Linked DNA regions of Daphnia pulex. The protein of the gene in region 1 interacts with the protein of each later gene in a pairwise test. Links are inferred from orthologs where the notes say so. Each region holds a gene or a part of one and is shown on either strand. Other genes may lie near its edges.

Region 1 (4,000 bases):
GTATGGGTGTCTTTCGTGCAAAAGCTTATATCGTACCATGCTGGATGAATGATGATGATGAATATATTGGGTCCGATCGAATCTACAATGAATTATTGTTCAAATGAACGGAAGGCCAACAGCTAACTTAAATTGTGGAATATCTCTTTTGAAATGAGAACAGAAGTTGACTTCAATTTTGGACCATTGTTATGATAATATCTCAACCGGCATTTCCATCCATTATTACTCCTCATATTCCTCATACTCCTCATACTACACGTAATGCTCGGCGAAATATATATATATATATATTTCATTTGGTTGAAGCACTACGTTATTAGCCTTTAGTGAATGTTGTGATAGCAGAAAATTTTAATCCAATAAATACGTTATGAAGGAATGGAAAGAAATGACGGTGTTTTCAAATCATTAATTTTTCTTAGACGCAGTAAAAAATAATCCTATTAACGCTGTACAACTTCTATACTGAACTCAATTAAATTTATGGCAAAAAATACACTGTGCAATGAAAGAGAATTTTGAAGTGGTTTACTCGTCTTGCTATCTTCTAGTTCAAATATCGGTTTGATTGTCTGATGACGGAAAATATTACATTGTTTAACGGATGGCCGGAGGAGGCTTTCTTCATGATTTACTGTGAACCATTTCCTAGAGCGCCAATCGCCTTTACATTGTAACAGGTAGATCACTTTAACCTTGACAACAAAGGTGAAGCACCTTCAAATTTCCTTCCATTGTTTTGGCATCTAGCGCTAAACCACTATGAAATTAATTATGCGCAACAGAAAAAGCTTGAGAAAAAGTTAAAATCATATTGGGCATCGGAAAACCATTAAAATTTTGTGGAATTAAGCATTGATATATTTTTGAAAGCAAATATTTTTTTCTAGAAAAAATAACTGTATTCCTATAACAATATAACTGTTTTTATGCCTTACACTGCCTTACATGAAGATTTTTTCCTAGACCTACCCACAGGCATACAAATCTCTCAACACCCATGGCCTACCTAAATATTGTTTTTAATTATTACTAATTAAATTTAATTTTTAAATCAGACTTTTGAAGTAGGCAAATTCTTTTAATTTGACAACAATTTTATTATTTTCAAGATTTTTTTCTTTAAAGACATGACCATGCCATCTATGAACGGCAAAATAAACTATTGAAGTAGTTTCGACTTTTTCCAAAGTGGCACCACTGGAATTGCTTTCGTTTTTGCCGCCATTTAACAAAGCAGCACGCTCAAAAGTCTCTGCTAACCGAATCTATTGCTTGACAGGTTCCAGCCGGTTCATCATTAGTAAAGGACTTGATTGACTAACGATGGCAGATAAAGATGGAGGTATCTGTTGAAATCATTCTTTGTTATTGGATGACAGTGAAATTTAATCCAATCTTTTTTAGAGCCCTTTGATGAAGCAGTGGAAGAACGCGTCATCAACGAGGAATACAAAATTTGGAAGAAAAATACTCCATTTTTGTATGATTTGGTTATGACACATGCTCTGGAATGGCCTTCACTTACAGCTCAATGGCTTCCTGATGTTACAAGGTAAATTACTGAGAACAAAGGTGTTTTATTGTTTCTTTCTAACTGTTGAATGTTTCTTTTCTCCGTTAGGCCTGAAGGCAAAGACTACTCAGTGCATCGTCTCATCCTTGGTACTCACACTAGCGATGAACAAAATCACCTCTTGATTGCATCTGTCCAGCTTCCTAATGAGGATGCTCAGTTTGATGCTTCACATTATGACAATGATAAAGGAGGTAGTCATTTAACTTGATCAAATCTGTTGCACTATTGTTTTAATGCTTCATCTCTATCAGAGTTTGGAGGCTTTGGATCAGTGAGTGGTAAGATTGAAATTGAGATCAAGATCAACCATGAAGGAGAAGTCAACAGGGCTCGCTACATGCCCCAGAATCCTTGTGTGATTGCCACTAAAACACCTTCATCTGACGTCTTGGTCTTTGACTACACAAAACATCCTTCTCGCCCTGATCCTAGTGGAGAGTGCCACCCTGATTTACGGTGAGTCATTTTTTATTCAAATGATTTCTTATGACCTAAACTTGTTACTCACAACTACATTATCTTTTTTTAGTCTGAGAGGACACCAGAAGGAAGGTTACGGTTTGTCTTGGAATCCAAACCTTAATGGTCACTTGCTGTCAGCATCTGATGACCACACCATTTGCTTGTGGGATATTAACGCATCGCCGAGAGAGAATCGTGTTCTCGACGCCAAAACCGTATTCACTGGCCACACAGCAGTTGTAGAAGATGTCGCTTGGCACTTGCTTCACGAGTCCTTGTTTGGTTCCGTTGCCGATGATCAGAAGCTTATGATTTGGGATACTCGCAGCAATAACACCAGCCGGCCCTCCCATACCGTGGATGCTCATACGGCTGAAGTGAACTGTCTGTCATTCAATCCTTACTCCGAATTTATTTTAGCTACCGGATCTGCAGACAAAGTATTCATTTAATATTAAAATCTACTATTTATTCTACTCAACTAAACATGTCTCCAAATTGTATTTCTAGACTGTAGCTCTTTGGGATTTGAGAAATCTTAAACTCAAATTACATTCGTTCGAGTCGCACAAGGATGAAATCTTTCAAGTCCAATGGTCACCGCATAATGAGACTATTTTGGCTTCGTCTGGCACCGACCGACGCTTGCATGTCTGGGACTTGTCCAAAATTGGAGAAGAACAATCCACCGAAGATGCCGAAGATGGCCCTCCAGAATTGTTGGTAAGTTGAAATATTGATGCGATTGTTTGATTCGGATGCTGTTTAATTATTGAATTCTCAACAGTTCATTCACGGTGGTCATACGGCCAAGATCTCTGATTTCTCCTGGAACCCGAATGAGCCCTGGGTCATCTGCTCCGTCTCTGAGGATAACATCATGCAAGTTTGGCAAATGGCTGAAAATATTTACAACGACGAGGAGCCTGAGACGCCAGCCTCAGAACTGGAAACCCCTACTAATTAATGCATTTCCAGTGTATCGCCCTATACCCTATTTCTCATCGTTTGATTCTTTACTGTCCCACGTACACGCTCATCTTTTTTTTAACATTCAAATCTTCGAATTTGGCCCTTACATCGCTTGGAGATCCAAGTTTGTGTATTCAATAAATAGCTTTCCGCGATTTGGTTCAATTTGAATTATTCTAATTACTGCCGTTAATTAGGTTACTAGTCCATTTGCAGTCCATTAAGTGGGTTGTGATGAAATTTCAATAAATGGTTGAAAGACGCTCTTATTCAGAACAAAATTCGACTCTTGATCGCCTGACCCTATGACGCAATCATTAGATTTCGAAAGCTAAATAACAGTAAATTGCCTAATTCCCGACTGTTCTAATTATTCGTGATTTTGTATTTGTACATGTTCGACTGTTTTCTTTGAACTCGGATTTCTAATCTGTGATGTTTGGATTTAGAAGCCAACAGCATATCCGTCTTGACCGTGAATCAACATTGTTCGGCTCACACTGGCCCGCCAGCAAGCAGCAGGTAAACATCTATCGTCTTCAGCTGGGTGTGGGCATCATGCGGCAGTAAAAAAGTTCCTCTCCTACCCGTGAATAAGTGTAGAGGACCGATGTTATTTATTATTCAACCTTGAAAACGCAATTAAAGCGCTTGAGGTTGAGCATGACGAAGACTCCAGCAGCATCCTCAACACCGTGTTCGGCCAAGGTCCGTCTGGATGGTTGGACCCCGTATTGGGATTGAGAAAACGCCAACATTTGTTATGTTTATGGATCGCGAAATGTGAAAATCGATTCCACATTTTCATAATGTTTTTGTTTGTTTGTTTTTTTCGCTTTTTTGTCAGTTGAAATATGCCTTGCAAAAACGTGACGCATCGGTTTTTCAAGGGCAGTTACCCAAACGCCCAAAACAAAGGCGCGCAATATTTTTTTCCAATATCCGCAAACGACTGAAATAAAATTCATTGAAAATACCGGCATC
Region 2 (4,116 bases), on another chromosome or scaffold:
TACAGCAACAGTTACTCTTTGGAATTGGCAAGTTCAGATGTTAGATGACATGATGAAAAATAAAGTAAAAAGAGAAAATCACGTTTTCATCATACTGAAATATCCAACATTTGAGATTCGTTTGACGTTAATGACACAGTCCATACAGATATTTTTACGTTTTTTAACTTAAGTGATTGGCATTACTTTTATTAACAATAACTTTAATGGAATATGAAATGGTTACTTAATGGTATTCGAGAAGACAGAAGAATCGACGCCCATTGATGAAAAACCATGCGGGAACAAAGCAGCCGAGGTGACCGGAGGTGACGAACTGACGATCAATATCCAATATGGTAGTTGGCACAGGAAACAGTACATGATTTCTCCACTAGGTGTCTGATGAAATAATAATGGGTAATGGCGCTCTGTTCAAAAAGTAATACCGAAGAGACTGCTTTAATCATGACTTCATGTTCATGATGATTCGAATCAAACGCATTTAATAATTATAGTTCACAGAATATTTTGTACGTGAATACATAAGCAAAAGAAACATTACTTAACAGTAAATGAGTTACATCAATAAGAAATGACGCATTAGGGATTATATTAACCACACACAACCAGACGATCAGTTGCTTTTTTTTAAATATCAATCCAAGGCCACTTCGACTCAAGATAAGGCTACTGTCAAATTTTAGCGACTAAAATGTATTATGAAAGCAAAATTATAGGGCGCAGTAACCTGATTTGATGTGCCACGTGCAGTAAGTGTTTACTATTGAAGCAGATCAATGACAAATGACAATCCAAACATGTTTTCCCAGCTTAGTAGGAATTTTACCTGTACTCATTTTCTAGCATTTGATATTGCTTGTCCAGGTTTTCAATCCGTTGTTCCTTAGTTGAAGTAGATAGGGTAGAGCGAAGTTCCTCTGCATTGAGGGCCTTTTGTAATTTCTTGTAATCTGATGCTTCTTTCTGTAATGGAAAAGTAAATTATATTGGGTATAATTTGATTAATCGAACAAGCTCGGACCCACCTGATAGGGAATATTCAAGCGACGCTTTACGTCTAAGCGATAGGCACGATATTCTTCGACATCCGCTAGGTTGGTTGCCTCGAAACGAAGGATTTCATAAACACGCCTTGCTTGTTTCTGAATACAATTGGAGCATAACAATTTTAGAGTCAGTTGTGAAACCAAGTTATTAATATTACTTTGTTGATTTTAAGCTCTCGTTGAGCATCTTCCACCATCTCAGCATTAAATCCTTGTTGAAGTTTTTCTTTAGAATAAGACGATAGTTTTTTGCTATTTTGAGCGTCGACAAAATCACGAAGACGAGTGAATTCTTCCGAAGGATCTTCAACTGTTAAAAAATAGACACAAAGCATGAGTAACAATTCTCCAAACATCTGTTAACACTGATACATACCTGTGATGTCAAGTATGTTGGAATCCTTAAGAAATGAACGATAAATGGTGTTTAGAAGTTCTGCTCCAAGACCTACGCGTTGAAAAGGTGGCAAAACTAAGAACTGGCTGATGCGAGGCCGAGTTTTATTAGGATAAGCAAAATAAAGGTAAACTGTGGCATATCCACACAGAGCATATCGATGACTTCCATCACAAGGATATTTTTCGAATCTGCAGAAGATACAGTCTCAAATGAAAAACATCGGATTAGATGAATATCTAAAAGTTATTACATTAAGTAAAAGCGCCAGCGGTCATCATCAACGTCGATAAAGCTAGCTGCATCCACATACCACAAGAGGAAAGTTTGCAATCGCTCGTGGTATGATCGAAAACTAGGTTCTTCTATCGTACAACTGTACAATTCAAAATTCTTTTCTGCGGCCGAACCTGGAAATGGGATTGTGATGACTCAAAGCATCTACAAAATCTGTGAACCTTTGTAATCTGTAGTATTAGTACCTTTGTTTATAGAGTATGTTGAAAGAAGTTCACCAGGAGGTTTGAAGCTTTGTTCTTTGTTTAGGGTTACGAGAAAGTCATCAAGGTTAGTCATGTAACCAGGTGGAAGTTTAGGAGTGATGGCTCCCATTACATCATCAGCCTAATAATGTAAAGTAGTTCAAATACATCACACAATTCAAATAAAAAGGGGACTCACTGTAGCTCCTTCAAATTGCTTGGGATCAACTTTTTTACTGTAATTCATTCCAAGGTATGTGTTTAGTTTTCCTGCAGTGTAGTACAAGCTAATTTTGAGGTTCTGGTAACCAAATATGCTTTCACTTGGGGAAACAAAATAATTTATAATTGATTAAATGATTCTCAATGTTTTTACTTGGACATACTTTTCTCCAAAAATTTGATGAGACATTTCTGGTTTGAAGGTAGTTTCATCATTATCAACATCAGAAGGTTCTCGAACTGTATAAATTAAAAAAATTGCATGATTCAGTAAAAGCTTTAGCAATAAATTAAATTCCTTACCTAACTTAAAATCTAGAGCTTCGTTCGAATCGATGATGAATGACTGAAGTACATTTTTTTTGTAAGAACCTAGCAACGTAAAAAGAAAAGTTAGCAAGCATTTTGGTGTAATGAATTATGTTGGAAGTTGTTTTGTAATATTCTAAAACAAATTCCTATGAAATGCATTACCTTCCATTTCAATATGAATAGTTAATATAAATTAAGCTGCACTATGACTTAACAAGTGCTAATAATAATTTGCTACTTTCTAAAATGCACAGGCGGGCGGCATGCAAAAACTTCTGACGAACTGAATCACTACTGAATCACTACTGACCGCGAAAAAGGTTGTTGGAGGGATTGGGCAACCGATTTGGAGATCCATGTTCTCTAGCCCAAACAACTTAAAAGAAGAAGGAGGTTGCAGAAACCCTAATGCAATGATAGTGATAATTGCACACAGTAGATGGCGATAGCTCTTTTTCCCGCGTTATATGTAGCAGACAAAAATCTTTTGTGAAATGTCAACAAAGCCTGAGTTTTCTTCTGCTTAACACTCAGTCAAATTCGATTTTATAGAACAAAATTAACAAATTATTCAAATACTAGCCTAAACACTTTCTTACTTAAATAAGATTTTGACAGATATGCTATTTAAAAGACTATGGGCTACTTCACTTGGTAGCACACTCTCATCGTCACAAAACCTAATGCAAATAAAACGGAATATAAGAAATATCTCCTGGTTTAAGTATTTTTGCTATCTCATTAAAACCTGATAAATATATAGAAATAACTAAACATTTTTAACAGGAAAAATCAAAATTTCGGAAATTACCAAGTTATAAAGAAACCAGGCCATGTAGTTCTGGAGCCAAGATGTGTTCCATCAAATATTGTGAAGCCACCGTACATAAATGATGTAAATGGCACATTCCCTAGTTCTGCTCAACCAGAGATCAAATCCAGCACACAGATAGAATGCATGAGGGCATCCTGTAGCCTTGCAAAAAATACCCTGAGGTACGCAAAAGAGCTGGTTAAGGTAAAAGAATGTATTAGGAATTGCCGAATTGGTAACATGGCATGATTGAAACAGAAATATATCTAAACAGTATGTTTGGATTTACAGGTTGGAACTACAACTGAGGAAATTGACAAATGTGTGTATGAGTTTATTATCTCTCACGGAGCTTACCCATCACCTCTACATTATAAGGGATTTCCAAAGTCTGTTTGCACCTCTGTAAACAATGTTGTGTGTCATGGTTTGTACTATTTTGGAATTAATATCTATTATATGCTTGAGCTTTACTTATTGTGCATTTTCCAACTTAGGTATACCTGATGACAGACCTTTAATTGATGGAGATATTATAAATGTGGATGTCACTGTGAGTTGTAAATTGTTTTTTTTGTGTTTTTTTTCCGTCAATTTGATACGAATAATGAAGACTTATTGAAATTCGTACCATAGGTGTATCTAAACGGTTTCCACGGCGACGTTTCAGAGACTTTCCTAGTTGGTGATGTCGATGAACAAGGAAAGGAATTAGTGGATGTCACCAAAATATGCCTAGATGAAGCTGTGGCAATATGTCATCCGGGGAGACCATATAACAATATCGGTAATCAACATCATTGAAAGTCTGTTTGTTTTTTTGCTCTTGCGCTGATGACA

Evidence for each region.
Region 2: the proteins of chromatin assembly factor 1 p55 subunit (region 1) and histone acetyltransferase type B catalytic subunit-like interact in a two-hybrid assay, tested with the Caenorhabditis elegans proteins (4 studies listed by BioGRID). The link is inferred for Daphnia pulex from reciprocal best matches to the Caenorhabditis elegans genes lin-53 and hat-1.

Annotation. Positions count from the first base shown.
Region 1 is NC_060023.1:6,455,853-6,459,852, reverse strand, and holds chromatin assembly factor 1 p55 subunit, read left to right. Parts: upstream 1-1,191; 5' UTR 1,192-1,329; coding exon 1,330-1,348; intron 1,349-1,410; coding exon 1,411-1,558; intron 1,559-1,627; coding exon 1,628-1,773; intron 1,774-1,833; coding exon 1,834-2,038; intron 2,039-2,111; coding exon 2,112-2,484; intron 2,485-2,554; coding exon 2,555-2,767; intron 2,768-2,831; coding exon 2,832-3,011; 3' UTR 3,012-3,171; downstream 3,172-4,000. UniProt on the Caenorhabditis elegans protein: Core histone-binding subunit that may target chromatin assembly factors, chromatin remodeling factors and histone deacetylases to their histone substrates in a manner that is regulated by nucleosomal DNA.
Region 2 is NC_060025.1:914,403-918,518, reverse strand, and holds histone acetyltransferase type B catalytic subunit-like, read right to left. Parts: upstream 2,845-4,116; 5' UTR 2,632-2,844; coding exon 2,625-2,631; intron 2,523-2,624; coding exon 2,454-2,522; intron 2,391-2,453; coding exon 2,315-2,390; intron 2,252-2,314; coding exon 2,128-2,251; intron 2,071-2,127; coding exon 1,929-2,070; intron 1,857-1,928; coding exon 1,700-1,856; intron 1,638-1,699; coding exon 1,426-1,637; intron 1,360-1,425; coding exon 1,208-1,359; intron 1,146-1,207; coding exon 1,029-1,145; intron 967-1,028; coding exon 826-966; downstream 1-825. Other genes in the region: methionine aminopeptidase 1D, chloroplastic/mitochondrial-like, read left to right, coding at 3,083-3,186, 3,249-3,480, 3,568-3,703, 3,774-3,829, 3,913-4,063.